2 linked regions of the Ovis aries genome follow. The protein of the gene in region 2 purifies or fractionates together with the protein of the main gene of each other region. This does not show direct contact. Links are inferred from orthologs where the notes say so. Each region holds a gene or a part of one and is shown on either strand. Other genes may lie near its edges.

Evidence for each region.
Region 1: the proteins of PAAF1 (region 2) and PSMC6 purify together in Homo sapiens (affinity purification with western blotting; 3 studies listed by BioGRID and IntAct, with this or other methods). This does not show direct contact. The link is inferred for Ovis aries from reciprocal best matches to the Homo sapiens genes PAAF1 and PSMC6.

Annotation. Positions count from the first base shown.
Region 1 is NC_056060.1:11,458,987-11,466,557, reverse strand, and holds the start of PSMC6 (26S proteasome regulatory subunit 10B), read left to right. Parts: upstream 1-3,083; 5' UTR 3,084-3,103; coding exon 3,104-3,188; intron 3,189-4,169; coding exon 4,170-4,249; intron 4,250-4,340; coding exon 4,341-4,380; intron 4,381-4,624; coding exon 4,625-4,677; intron 4,678-6,998; coding exon 6,999-7,066; intron 7,067-7,307; coding exon 7,308-7,422; intron 7,423-7,571. UniProt on the Homo sapiens protein: Component of the 26S proteasome, a multiprotein complex involved in the ATP-dependent degradation of ubiquitinated proteins.
Region 2 is NC_056068.1:52,057,567-52,065,257, reverse strand, and holds the start of PAAF1 (proteasomal ATPase-associated factor 1), read right to left. Parts: upstream 4,736-7,691; 5' UTR 4,714-4,735; coding exon of another isoform or gene 4,667-4,713; intron 4,354-4,666; exon of another isoform or gene 4,187-4,353; intron 3,742-4,186; 5' UTR 3,722-3,741; coding exon 3,630-3,721; intron 3,481-3,629; coding exon 3,370-3,480; intron 3,112-3,369; coding exon 3,071-3,111; intron 1,142-3,070; exon of another isoform or gene 1,023-1,141; intron 1-1,022. Other genes in the region: cytochrome c oxidase assembly factor 4 homolog, mitochondrial, read left to right, coding at 7,445-7,691. UniProt on the Homo sapiens protein: Inhibits proteasome 26S assembly and proteolytic activity by impairing the association of the 19S regulatory complex with the 20S core.

The DNA of each region.
Region 1 (7,571 bases), on a different chromosome or scaffold from region 2:
TTGACCAGAATAATTGTACCTGAGTGGGAGAAGGGACTAACCCTGCTCAATCCACCTTCCTTGTTTATTGTCTAATTGAAATTTCCAGTTATATTTGGAAAAAACAGAATAGAATATTTACACAATGTCCATAAGATTTTTTCCCAGTAAATTCAAAGACATCTTTTATATTTTCTAATAGCTTAATTTCCTAACAAAATTTTTGGTAGTTAAATTTACTTAAATTTGAACTTTATATGCATACATAGGCTATACCTATTTAAATTCAAACATCAGAGCCGGGGGATGAGATGACAGCAAATGGAGTCGGGAATGTGACTGATTCTGTTGAAACAACTCTAAATTCTCCCCAGGAGTAATGCTGAGAAGAGGTACAGCGTTGTGGACCCGTACCACAAAATTTGAGGTCATTACCACTCTTAAAATAAATAACTTAAAATAGCACTATTGAATATTTGGGGCTTCCCTGGTGGCTCAGTGGTAAAGATTCTGCCTGCTAGTGCAGGAGATGCAAGAGACATGGGTTTGAACCCAGAGTTTGGAAAAGCCGCTGGAGGAGGAAATGGAAACCCAGTCCAGTATCCTTGCCAGAATAAGATACGACTGAGCATGCACACATGTATTAATAGCTTAGAGGCACACTGTGCTGTTTAATACTCATGACATCCCTATGAGATAGGTAAAACATTCTACTCATTTTACAGAGATTTTTGAAAGATTAATTTGTCCAAAAGCACAGAAATCTTAAAGACAGTTCTGTCAGGTTTCACGTTCCTTACTCAGTCTACTTCCGCATCTTTATCTTGTGCCCCTCATCTCCACAACCCATCCCTTCCGGTCTCATTGGCCTTCTCTCTGTTCCAAGAAATGAGCTAAGCCCCTTTCACCTTTAGGGCTTCCCTGACAGCTCAGTTGGTGAAGAATCCACCTGCAATGCCGGAGACCTGGGTTCCATCCCTGGGTTGCGAAGATCCCCTGGAGAAGGCAAAGGCTACCCACTACAGTATTCTGGGCTGGAGAATTCCATGGACAGTATAGTCCACGGGGTCGCAAAGAGTCGGACACGCCTGAGCGACTTTTACTTTCACTTTCCTTTCACCTTCAGATCTTTGCATTAGCTGTTTCCTCTGTTTGGAAGGTTTTTCATCTGTTTCTTGCATGGTTGGTTCCTTGTCTCAGATATCTGTCCTAAATTACTTCTCTTCACCTTACTCTGTAACATTATCCTGTTTTATTTACATTAGAGGGTGACAGCATTTATTGGGCTTCCCTGGTGGCTCAGACGGTGAAGCATCTGCCCACAATGAGGGAGACCCGGGTTTGATTCCTGGGTCGGGAAGATCCCCTGGAGAAGGAAATGGCAATCCACTCCAGCACTCTTGCCTGGAAAATCCCATGGACAGAGGAGCCTGATAGGCTACAGTCCATGGGGTCGCAAAGAGTTGGACACGACTGAGCGACTTCACTTTCATTTCACTTTCACAGCATTTATGGACTATGCCAAAGCCTTTGACTGGGTGGATCACAATAAACTGGAAAATTCTGAAAGAGATGGGAATATCAGACCACCTGACCTGCCTCTTGAGAAATCTGTATGCAGGTCAGGAAGCAACAGTTAGAACTTGACATGGAACAACAGACTGGTTCCAAATGGGAAAAGGAGTACATCAAGGCTGTATATTGTCACCCTGCTTATTTAACTTCTATGCAGAGTACATCATGAGAAATGCTGGACTGGAGGAAGCACAAGCTGGAATCAAGATTGCCAGGAAAAATATCAATAACCTCAGAAATGCAGATGACACCACCCTTATGGCAGGAAGTGAAGAAGAACTAAAGGGCCTCTTGATGAAAGTGAAAGAGGAGAGTGAAAAAGTTGGCTTAAAGCTCAACATTCAGAAAACGAAGATCATGGCATCTGGTCCCATCACTTCATGGCAAATAGATGGGGAAAGAGTGGAAACAATGGCTGACTTTATCTTTCTGGGCTCCAAAATCGCTGCAGATGGTGATTGCAGCCATGAAATTAAAAGACGCTTACTCCTTGGAAGGAAAGTTATGACCAACCTAGACAGCATATTAAAAAGCAGAGACATTACTTTGCCAACAAAGGTCCATCTAGTCAAGGCTATGGTTTTCCAGTGGTCATGTATGGATGTGAGAGTTGGACTGTGAAGAAAGCTGAGTGCCAAAGAATTGATGCTTCTGAACTGTGGTGTTGGAGAAGACTCCTGAGAGTCCCTTGGACTGCAAGGAGATCCAACCAGTCCATCCTAAAGGAGATCAGTCCTGGGTGTTCACTGGAAGGACTGATGTTGAAGCTGAAACTCCAATTCTTTGGCCACCTGATGCAAAGAGCTGACTCATTGGAAAAGATCCTGATGCTGGGAAAGATTGAGGGCAGGAGGAGAAAGGGACGACAGAGGATGAGATGGTTGGATGGCATCACCAACTCAATGGACATGGGTTTGGGTGGACTCTGGGAGTTGGTAATGGACAGGGAGGCCTGGTGTGCTGCGGTTCCTGGGGTTGCAAAGAGTCAGACACGACTGAGCGACTGAACTGAACTGAACAGCATTTATTACAATTTGAAATATTTTTTTTCTTTAATTTTCCCACCGGATCAAATCCTTAGTACTTCATTCACTGAGTGAAGAAATGAATCAATAGCTTACTTATTCTGTACCTGGAGATCCTAGATAGTGTTGTGTTATACCAACAGGTATACATGGATAAGCCATCAGCGCTACTTAAAGAAATATGTATATTCTCTATTTTACTCTCATATTAGTTTATTACAAAGTCTTTAGTGGTTCCAGGACAGCATGACTTAAAAACACCAAGGCTTCTCAGGGGACAGAGCCCTGCTTTACCCAGGCAGACCAGCAGGGGACGGTGTAGGTGGAGGTCTCCTTCCACGGGTTCCGGCGCCCTAGACGCAGAAGTTGGAGAAGGGCAGTGCAGAGGCGGAGCCAACCGGAAGGGGCGGGGTCACCTGAGAACCTGCCCTTCCAGGGAGGCTCTTCTCCCTCGCCCCGCCCCGTCCCCCGCCCGGGCGGCCATGGCCATTCCCGGCATCCCCTATGAGCGACGGCTTCTCATCATGGCGGACCCTAGAGATAAGGCGCTTCAGGACTACCGCAAGAAACTGCTGGAGCACAAAGAGATTGACGGCCGTCTCAAGGAGTGTGAGTGCACCTTTCTTTCCACGTAATCTCGTACCTGGACCCGCTTCTGTCTCTGCCGAAGTGGAGGCCTTTTGCCGAGTTCGGCAACCGAGTCCCTGGGATGAGAAGGCCTCAGTCCAGGGACAAGGCGCTTTGTCATTCCGCCCAGTATTTGGGAAGCCGAGCCTTTTCGGGCGTGGAAATGATCTAGTCTGGTCCAGGCGACAGACAGAACATCCCCAGTTCTGAGATGAAAGTGGGAAATGACCCGACAAAGAGTGAGGAAGAAGTTGGTCAGAGATGTTTCCCAGATTCAGGTGCAAGGAGTGCAGTGTTGGTGGAGCCCTGGGACCCGGAGCGGAGAAAAGACTTGAGTCAAAGAAGCTCAAGCGCGAGATGAGATTCTAGGGGGGTTGGCTTGTTAGTGGAGAAGAAAGCCGAACATGGGGTTTAAGGGATAAGGCGTATCGGTCAGTAATAGCCCTTTTCATCTTTACTCGTGGTTTGAATTATACTGCATTAATTATACAAGTTTCCCTTACCTCCTGAACTAAATAAAAAGAGTTTTGTATTTTTTTCTTAATGCACCGTCACCGACGTAATGAATGAAAACCTTAACCATAATTCTGCGGAGCTTTATTTAGGTTAAAAAGCCAGAGGGTAACAGTGCATGTAGATAGATGAAGTGAGGAGGGTCTAACTCTTATTATTCGGATTTGTAATCTCAGATCTGGAAATGCCAGAAGGTCAATACCTGTTAAAAATGTTACCTAAAATGTGCTCAAAGAAGTAAGTATCGCCAATCAAGAAAATAAAAATAGGTGCTTTCTCTGTAATATTTCGTTTTGAAACACATCATCTACAAACAGCATTGTTACTTTTGTGTGGTTTGATACAATGGATATAAAATATATGTAAAGTGAAACAGACAAAAGTTAAGATTTGGTGCCTTAAACTCGCGAAGATTACTTAATTCAAAATGTTCAAATTATATTATTTCAGTAAGGGAACAATTAAAAGAACTTACCAAGCAGTATGAAAAATCTGAAAATGATCTGAAGGCTCTACAAAGTGTTGGGCAGGTAGGTAATGGAGTTTGGGATGTAGAGGGTGATGGTGATTTATTTTTTTAAGCTCTTGGCAAAAAATAATGCTCTCTTTTGTCTTTATTAGATTGTGGGTGAAGTACTTAAGCAGTTAACTGAAGAAAAATGTAAGTGTATTAGATTGTTAGTAGAAAAAGAGCAGGGTTACCTCCTTTCTGTCACCAGCTTTGAATGCTTATTGCTTAAATGAGTATAATGAAGATAGATGATATTCTTGCATAGACTGAGTTTTCTTTCAACTCTTGTCTTTTGGAGAACAGAAATAAAATGCAACCTGCCATCAATGTGGATATATTTAGTTTTTACTTTCTATGTTTCAATTTGTTTTTTCATTTCTTTTTTCCCCTTTAGTCATTGTTAAAGCTACAAATGGACCGAGATATGTTGTGGGTTGTCGTCGACAGGTAACATTTTATATTTGTATAGTGCTTTATAATTGACAAAAGTGCTTTCAAGTAAGTTATTTACTTTTCCAGGTCCCAAAGGTGACTTGTTCAGATACAGCTAATTATTAGTAAAGCCTAAACTCAAACCATGGATTTGACTCCTGATGAAAGCTCAGTCGTGTCCGACTGTTTGCAACCCCATGGGCTATACTGGCTATGGAATTCTCCAGGTCAGAATACTGGAGTGGGTAGCCTTTCCTTTCTCCAGGGGATCTTCCCAACCTAGGGATTGAACCCAGGTCTTCCACATTGCAGGCAGATTCTTACCAGCTGAGCCCTCCTGGTAGTCTATTTTTCTGCTTGATTGCATTAGCTCAGTCAACTCTACACACAGAGAAATCAGAGAATCTTAGAACTGAAAAATAACTCAGGTTATTTTATTTTAATGTCTCTTTTTGAAGAAGACTTAAAAGATTAAACCTTATAAATTGCACTTTAAACATTCAGAAATATTACTTATCAACTTTACTATAGATTAAATTGATTTTGTATGAATTGGTTTAGATTAGAATAAGCAAACTGAGATAACTCCAAGTTTTATTTTGCAGTCAAAAACTGACAAACAGATTTGAATTATTTAGTAACCACTGAAGCCAATTTATGTACTGCTCTGTTCTTTAGGAAATGCCTTTAGCAGATTTTGAAAAACTCATTGGAAGAGCTTTCTCTGAGTATTTGTTATATCAGGTTCAGGTTTTAAAACATTGATCCGACATGGCTATAGAATGGAATTTTACCCAAGAACTAAGTTCAGTCTTAAAATTTTACTTACATATAAGTGGGATGATATTTTCTAAATCAAAATTTTAGATGCCTAATCCTATAAAGGATATTTATGTCCCTTTTAGGACCCTTTGGATGCCAAAAGTTGGCATTTAAAGATAGTTCATGACTGTATGAGGGCAATAGAGCATTTGAAAGCTGAAAAATATTAGAAAGGCCAGAGTATATATTGCCTATAGATATAAATGAAATAACTTCTTATTGATCTCTGTTTAAGCTCTTGTTTCAAGTACAGTAGTCCTTAATCCGTGGGGGATATGTCCCGAGACTCCCAGTGGATGCCTGAAATCTAGGCATATACCAAACCTATATGTGCTGTGTTTTTTCCTCTACATACATACTTATTATGATAAAGTTTCCATTTATAAATAAGGGAGGGGGAACTACTGTATCTAGGAAATATTTTTAGTTTAATCCATTATATTAAACCTAGTTTTTAGCTTGCTTCCACTTTAGGTTGCTCTATCCTGTCCAACTCTTCGCTACTCCGTGGACTGTTGCCCTCCAGGCTCCTCTGCCCATGAAAATTTCTAGGCGAGAACACTGGAGTGAGGTGCCATTTCCTCCTCCAGGGGATCTTCTGACCCAGGCATTGAATCATGTTTCCTGCATTGACAGGCAGATTCTTTACCACTGAGCCACCAGAGAAGCCTCCCACTTCATTTTAACTGGCACTAAATCCTAAACCAAGCACTCTTTGCAAAATTCTGTGAAAAGTGTTTAGTAATTTGTGTGATTCTGAAATTGTATTAACAAGCAGTTTTCTAAACTATTGAAAAGTAACTTTTTTTTTGAGAAACAGCCTGAGTGTGATTGAATCTCTTTGGATAGATTCTATCCAGTTCTATCCAAATAAGTTACACTGCCTAAATATGCCAATAAATTATTTAGTATGATTCAACTTAACATGAAATATGTTTGCCATAGTGTCTGACAGGTAGCAAAGGAATGAATGAAGGTTGCTGGGATTTTTTTTTAATTCTTTAGAATTAAAAAAAAAATCTCTAGAGGGAAACAGTGCATTTCTCCCCTATCTACTGTGATCATGGAGTATATTCTTCTCAAAACCATAGTTTTTAAAATAAATTTAATGGGCATACTTGTAAGGTGCTTTCCTTTCTTCACAAATGTTCACTAAGGGATTTCTATATGTATACTTTGCTACCAGTTTCCAAAGTCACTGTACTACAGTGCCTAAATCAAAATGATGAGCAAAACTATTAAATAGCCTTTGAAAGTAAAATATTGCAGTCAGTTCCTGCTTCAAAAACAGTCGTTGGCTCCTCAAATTTTGTGTATTAGGGGTTTCACGTTTCACAGTGAGATTGCACAAAAGGGCACTTTTTTAAGAGGTAGCACTGCATGTTGTTTATAACCTAAGATTAGTGTTCTCTCTGAAGGATAAAAATGATTATTTGGCTTCTAACTATGCTCTTGTTATACTGTTATACCCCCTTTCAAGTGTTTATGTAACACTTTCTGTTTTATAAAATTAGCTTGACAAAAGTAAGCTGAAGCCAGGAACAAGAGTTGCTTTGGATATGACTACACTAACTATCATGAGGTATGTGTCTTATACTATTTAGTTAACCTTTTATTGTCATGGAGGGAATATTTTATCCAAAATTGGTGTTTCCTGAGATCACTGAATATTTTGCCACTTTTCTGCTTTTACTAATTTCAGATTAACTTAAACATGATTTTATAAGATCTCCTACAGGTTCTTGTATAAGCAGTCATTTATACTCTTTGTAGACTGAGACAAAATACATCTTTTAAAAGAAAAGTACACTTTATTATTACAGATATTTGCCAAGAGAAGTGGATCCATTGGTTTACAACATGTCTCATGAGGACCCTGGGAATGTTTCTTATTCTGAGATTGGAGGGCTATCAGAACAGATTCGTGAATTAAGAGAGGTTGGTAGTGTATGCTTTGTTCTCTGAACTTATCAAGAAATGGTACTGGTTTTAAAATGCCTGAAAGCCAGCGCCTGTGGTGTCTGGGTCTCTGGAGCCTGGGCTGCAGTCTGGGGAGGCTGAGAGGCAGATGGCAGTGCTACCAGCTC
Region 2 (7,691 bases):
AGGCTAAATAAAATTCCTGCACATAAATGTTAAAATGTTCTCTTCTATTCTTCTCCTGTAGTGTGTGTGTTGTTCTGTAACAGCCCACAATGTGTGTGTGTGTGTGTGTGTGTGTGTTGTTCTATAACAGCCCACAATATGTTGTTTACATTTCTGGCCTCCCCACCAGACTATGGAGTCCTTGAGTTCAGAAAACCAGCAAAGTGCTCAAATTATTCAGTAAATAACTGGTGCATGAAAATTAAATTCTAGGAGTAAGAGGGAAGTAAAAGTCATCATGCCAAAGTCATTCATTCAGAGTAGGAGAGCTTCCTAGAGAGGGTGGGACTTGAGAAGGATCTTAAAAGATACAACTAGGCAGAAAATAAGGGAAAGGAAAGGGGAAGGAAACGGCAACCCACTCCAGTATTCTTGCCTGGAAAATCTCACAGAAAGAGAAGCCTGGTGGGCTATAGTTCATGGGGTCACAAAGAGTCTGAGTGAGTCATGACTGAGTGAGCACAAGGGAAAGGAAACTCCATGTCAGGGAAGGGCATGTCGAGAATAAAGAACAGTCACACAGGAACAAGGGGAGAGGAGGCATCAATTAATATACTAGTTTAGTCACTGAAAGATATTAATGGAGTAACTCACAATCTAGGGTAGAAGTCTGGACTAGAGAAGATCTAGTGAAGAAGGTGTGGCAGGGAAGTGGCATGAAATGTTAGTTCAGAAAGATGCCACAAAAACAGGGTTGAGTGAACTCCGCGTTTTGTCCCTCTCCATGATTCCCTCCTGGCTTCAAATTATCCTAGGAAGTCTGGCCCTTTTGGTATATTATTTCTACCAATCTCCTGTCAGCACTGGCAATGACCTCTCTACATTTACAAAGCTACTGAAACGATCTGAGTCTCAGTATCTTGTCTGTGTAACAAAAGTGAGATTAATCTAACCATTCACCTTTCTACATTTCTACATATAGGCTGCTGAGTGCAGATACAGAACAGGACACAGCTGTGCAAACTGGCGCCGTTCCAACTTACCACAGTTTTCAAGCTCTGCGTAGTTTTGGAGTCCTTTTGTCCCTTTTGTTCCCAGAGCAGCCAATTCTCACTATACCTAGCCTATCAGCAAAACCTTCTTCCTGCATAACAGCCAAAAACTGGAAACAATTCAAATGTTCGTCAGCTGATGAATGGACAAAAAATGTGATATGTCCTTACAGACTATTACTTGGCCATAAAAACATACGAATGCCACAAAATGGATGAACCTTGAAAATGTTATGTTAAATGAAAGGTGCAAAAGGCCACATATTATGACTCTATTTATAAGCAATGTCCAAAACAGGCAAATCCACAGAGAAAGTCAATTAGCGGTTGCTAGGAGCTAGGAGGAGGGGAGAAAGTAGAGAGACTGCTAAACAGCATAAGGTTTCTTTTAGAGGTGATGAAAATGTGTAGAATTACTGACAGACACACAACTCTATGAATATACTAGAAACCACTGAATTGTACACTTTAAAAAGATAAACTTTACTGTATGTGAATTATATCTGAAAACAGTTATTATCTTAAAAAAAAGATCAAAATCCTAATAGTCCCTACATGTTATGGTTGACATCTAGCACATAGATAGCATGCATTTTATTTCAACAAAACTGCCATTTCAGGGGAAAACAACTCTTCTTTAAGAGCTGACTCTAACTCCAACATCACAAAGAAAATATAGGCTATAAGAAAATTTCACATTTCTATATCCAGGTCTATGCATGTATCTATTAATACATCTACACTTACCCTCACCTTTCATCTTACTCTTTTAGACTTAATTCAATCTCGCTCATCTAAGATACTGATTTTTCAGCTGGTCGTCTTTTCTACCTACAGCCTAAGTATTTGTTTCTTTTTTTAAAATATATTTATTTACTTTTAAATAAGGGCTTCCCTGGTGGCTCAGACTGTCAAGAATCTGCCTACAATGCGGGAGACCTGAGTTCAGTCCCTGGGTCAGGAAGATCCCCTGGAGGAGGGCATGGCAATCCACTCTAGTATTCTTGCCTAGAGAATCCCCATGAACAGAGGAGCCTGGCAAGCTACAGTCCATGGGGTTGCAGAGTCAGACACAACTGAGTGACTAAGCACAGCATTTTTAAATGAAACAAAGATGAATATTTTTAATGTATAACCTGTATTTTAATTGCTCTCCAATTAGTTCCCATCTTTAAAAATAAGACAAAAATCCTTGATTCTGAGACCTCCCAGCTACCACCTTTCTTTGACACAGCACCAATTTCCTCCAAAGAAAACTGTTTAAAACTCTATTTCTCCTAGAATATCTTATTATGGAGAGACGTCAAAGGTCTCTGAAAATGAAAAATAATCAGCAAAACAAAGCTTTCTTACAAATTTAAAAGCAAAAAAATTTTAATGTTACCACACTAACTGAAAACAAATGGATGAGAATAATACAGGAATGTCATTGAAAGGAAAAATTTGGAAGACTTGGGAACTAACTATATATGGTAGGGTGAGGCACCAGGTTTTTCACTCTAATGTCTAGAATAGTGATAACTTAAGAACTGAGAAAATCTAGAAAGAAAACCTGTTTGACAACAGACGCGCTCAGCATCAGATTCTGGATCTGATAAGCTCAAAACAGCAGCGAGAGTTTTAACCAGAAATGTTTAGCAGGTAACTATTCAATCTCTGCTTGAAAATGAAGAGAGGTCAGAACTAGAGCTGTAGACCAGGAATCATTATCAGGAAGATCACAACTGAAGCTACAGAACTGCCTAGAATACAATAGTATATGGCAAAGACACTGATTAAGATGCAGCAGCAATGTCTCCACAAATGTCTGTGGCTCCCAATGGGACACGAATAGGAAGCCCTTCCCCTAGAATGGAGGAGTTGCAGTGGCATCCATTCAGCACAGAATGGTCAAGAACATCTGAAGACTGTTGAAGCACATCTCAAGACTACTTGAAGCACTGTTCAAGTAGTCTAGGCCAGGAGAAAGTAGGAAGCTCTTTCCTAGGGGTTGTAAATCCTTTCTCTAAAGGGAAGGCATAGAGATTTAAGGATATTACCTGGGGGGTGACAGCTCAGCCAGGCCTCCCCTTCGTCCTTCCTATGAAGAGAAACAAAAACGTAATTAGACTCACTCAATGTCAAAATGGATGTTATTGATGAAGGGGAGAAAGAACATATAATTTCCAGTTTAGCCAGAGCACTTACACAAATCAGTCTAATACGTTATCCAGGCATAGACAAACTTTATTGAAGAAATACTTATGGATTGTGTTTAATGCATAGACCTGTTAGTTAAGTGAAGCTCAAGTACTTCATCATGAAACACTTATTAGCTGCACTATCCTGGGCAACTTACTTCTTGATTCTGAACTTGTGTTCTTGCAAAGGTAGGTGGTCCTCAATAAATGCCAGTGTTCCTCCTATTACACATCTGGTGTTGTAGTAATAAGGTTTCTTTTCAGCCCACCTAGTAAGGCATAAGTTTCTTAAACTCAGGAGACTATGTTCCATTCATCTTCACCATTGTTTCCATTTTTAAAACCTATTAGTATAATAGTTGCCATTCATGGCACTGCTGTTGGAGAAGGAAACGGCAACCCACTCCAGTATTCTTGCCTTGGAAATCCCAAGGACAGAAGAGCCTGGCCGGCTGTAGTCCACGGCAGACACGACTTAGCGGCTGAACATCTCGGTACGGCTGTACTCATTCTGGTGCCTGGCAAAATAACTTGCACAGTATATGATACACAATAAATAAATGAATGGTTTGTTGTTCATTCCAATTAAGCTGTTAGCGTCTCAAAGGCAGAAACCACCCTTAAGTTTAGAGTACACATCTGAACTCCGCCGAGCATCTATTTAGGTCAGAGTCTGGACATGGTTTAAGTGTTACACTGTTCCCTGAAAAGACCTGTGAAGTGAAGTGAAGTGAAGTGAAAGTCGCTCAGTTGTGTCCGACTCTTTGCGACCCCATGGACTACACACAACATGACTAACACACCACTGGGAGAAGGCAATGGCACCCCACTCCAGTACTCTTGCCTGGAAAATCCTATGGACAGAGGAGCCTGGAAGGCTGCAGTCCATGGGGTCGCTGAGGGTCGGAAACTACTGAGCGGCTTCACTTTCACTTTTCACTTTCATGCATTGGAGAAGGAAATGGCAACCCACTCCAGTGTTCTTGCCTGGAGAATCCCAGGGACGGCGGAACCTGGTGGACTGCCGTCTATGGGGTCGCACAGAGTCGGACACGACTGAAGTGACTTAGCAGCAGGGGTCGAGAAGGATGCCAAGACTCCTGGTAATGCAGATTGCTGGGACTTTTGGAAATAGCTGATAAGTAAGTATTTGCTAAATGACCATGACTATTTGGCCAAGAGTCTTCCTGCCTCTCAGTTTTCCTGTCTTTCTCCAACTCATTGATGCTATTCTGCCTCTGCCATCACACGACGCATACGTGTTTCCTGGGATACATAACTCTTCTGAGAAGGAAAAACAATGACCATGTGGCTTTGAGACTTCTAGGCCCAGGGTTCCCTCAACAATTGATGAGGCAACCCCTATGGACATCCTGGGTCGGGGATGGCGCTCCTTAACGTAAAGGCAACATCCGCTACCCGCCTCCTATGTCCCAGTTCTGGACCTGGATTCACCTGAGAGCCTGGGCCCAGTCGCTCTGAATCCTCAAAGGTACCGCCATCTTGGCCCGCCTCCACCAGCCCGCCCCTTCCGCTCTCTCCCGGAAGTGGATGCCCCACAGAGCCTACGTCGAGAACGAAGGGCGGGATCTACCCGAAAAGCCGCTAATGGAAATACGTGATGTATTCTCCTTCTCTCCCCGCCCCTTTGCGCGCGCGCTCCTTGCAGGAAGCTGGTTCCTGACCCGAGGTTTACTGGGTAATTCGGTAGAGTTACAGCTGCCTGCGAAGCCGACGCCGCTGTGCAGCAGCGCGCGTTCGAGTCCTCCTGTCTGCCTGTTCGGTGAGCACTGTGTGCCGCGATCTTACGCGGTGAAGCCTAGCGGGCACAGCGCGGGCTCGCGAGTGCGCTTGCGTCCTCTCCGGAAGGTGGTGGTTTTAAGTAACTTGGCCGCTTGGGTTTTTCTGCTTACCCATCCTTTCAGTGCCTTCTTAGTCCAGGCTGGCCTTCGCGAACCAACTGCCGACCTTCCATCCTGCCCTGGTCTCTGAGCGAGGGTCTTCCACTTTTTACTCATGAGAGACTGAAGCCAGGTTGAGGTGGGGAATTAAGTCCTTTCGTAGCCCATGCACTTGTCCCTTATTAGCATCTTATTCCTTGCGGTAAAGTGAGTTAAATATTACCTTAAGAAGGAAGGAAACTAAGGGATTTCCTCTGTGGTCCAGTCGTTAAGATTGCCCTTCCGCTATAGGGGACACTATATAGTTCGTTTCCTGGTAGGGGAACTAAGATCCCACATGCCAAAAAAACGGGGGAAAAAAAAAAAAAAAAGGAATGCACGCTAAGGCTTGCGCATAGTAAAACGAGGTGCCAGTATTTGAATCCGGATTTCTTGGCTTAGAATCCACGGCACTGTTCTTTCCACCATATTGTTTCAAGAGGCTTGCCCTTGCCTTTAAAGAGCTCAGTATATTTAGAAAGAAGAAACATGTATAGTAATAGGAGTTATCATTTATTGAACTCTGGACGTGCCAGGCTCCTTACGTGCATTATCTCATTTAGTTTTCAGTCCTGTGAGATAGATTTGATGTGTGTTTTTCAAGAGAGATTATAAAGTGTAATTTGCTCAAAGCATCCCAGTGAGTCAGTGACCAGGCTAATTTTCCAATCCAAGTTTGTTTTCGAAGCCCATTTTCTCCCTCCTCCCTTGCCTTCAAAGCAAATGAATTTTGTGTAGGGCCAGTACTCTTGCCTGGAAAATTCCATGGACAGAGGAGCCTTGTAGGCTACTGACTATGGGGTCACAAAGAGTCGGACACGACTGAGTGACTTAACTTCACTTAACTTATAGAGTTCTTGGGCTCTCCCAGTGGCTCAAAATGTAAAGAATCTGCCTGTAATGCAGGAGATCTGGGTTCAATCCCTGGGTCAGGAAGATCCTTTGGAGAAGGAAATGGCAACTTGCTGCAGTATTCTTGCCTGGAGAAATCCATGGACAAAGAACCTGACGGGCTACAGTCCACGGAGTATCAGAGAGTCTGGACAGGACTGAGCGATTAACACTTTCACTTTCATAGAGTTCTTAAAACCTTTTTGTGACTTCCCCATTGCCCTCTTGACAACTTAACATGTGGTCTTCCTGTGATCAGATACTTTCTCAACTCATCACTTTCATTAATTTTCCTGTTCTCATACTCTATTCTCCAGTCATGTAAAACTTTCAGTTCATCTCATGTCAAATTCTGTCTCAAATCCCCACCCTGCTCTTCCATTGACTAGAAATATTCTTTACATCTCTGGCTCTTCCCTTTTCATCTTTCAAGTCTCAGTCTAGAAATCACTTTCTGCAAGAAAAGAAGGCTTCCCTGCCTGTTTGTCCCCTTGTCTGGCTTAGGTAGTCTCCACTGTCTTCCCAATTTTAGCTGTTTATAGACACTGTACACAAGTAATCAGCCTTTTAACTTACCTAAATTATAAACTCTATGAAGGCAGGAAGTGTATCTGTCTTGGTCACTCTTGTTTTCTCAACTCTAGCATAGAGCTTGGTACATGATAGATACTCAATGATAATTTGTTAAATGAATCAGAGACCCAGGAAAGGCATTAAGGAGTCTTAGCTTATTTATAGCCTGTCATGGTTAAATTTGTACAAAGGCTGAGTCATTTATCTTCAAACCTCTCTTAAGTTCCTTCTATATGCTACCTTGTGCTGGGTGCTCTGAAGCAGGTGATCGTGGAAAGGCAGTGTGGGCAAGTGCACCTCACATTAAGTATTCTCACACTTCACAAACTTAGTTCTTGCCCTGTACCTTGTATGCTCTTTTCTCCACACAACTCTCCATTCTCCCAAATGTCAAACCCTACCCATATATGGTTACTCTCTCAAGTACTAAACTCTGTTCTTCTCTAGCCATAGAATAAGGCTAATTGAAAAAAAGAAGATTGCTTCTCCAATAGGAGAACAGAGATAGCTTCCCCAGATATGTGACATTTCACCTAATTCCAATTCTATTAGTAGAACCCATTTGAGCTTATTAGTGCTGTGCTGAGCATTCTCACATACTTTATCTCATTCTGTTCAGTTGAGACCATTTTGCAAGCCTGGTGCTGGGGGTACCAGGATGAATCAGGCCCAGTGTTTGTCCTCAAATAGCTCACAATCTCCAAGGGGAGACATAGGCATAAATAGGCTATAACAGTGCAGTGGTAAGTGTTGTTTATAACAGAGGAACATATATAATCATGTCCCTACTCTAACCTTGCTCCCATTGATATTCTAGAGACTCCAGAAGATGTCAGCTCAAGGCCATGCCTGGTCCCGACAGGTGAAGAAGGAGGATGAAGAAGAGGACCCGCTGGACCAGCTCATCTCCCGCTCCGGCTGTGCTGCTTCCCACTATGCAGTGCAGGAGTGCATGGCCCAGCACCAGGACTGGAGGCAGTGCCAGCCACAGGTGCAGGCCTTCCGGGACTGCATGAGTGAACAGCAGGCAAGGCGACGGGAGGAACTGCAGAGGCTGAAAGAGCAAAGCAGCGCCC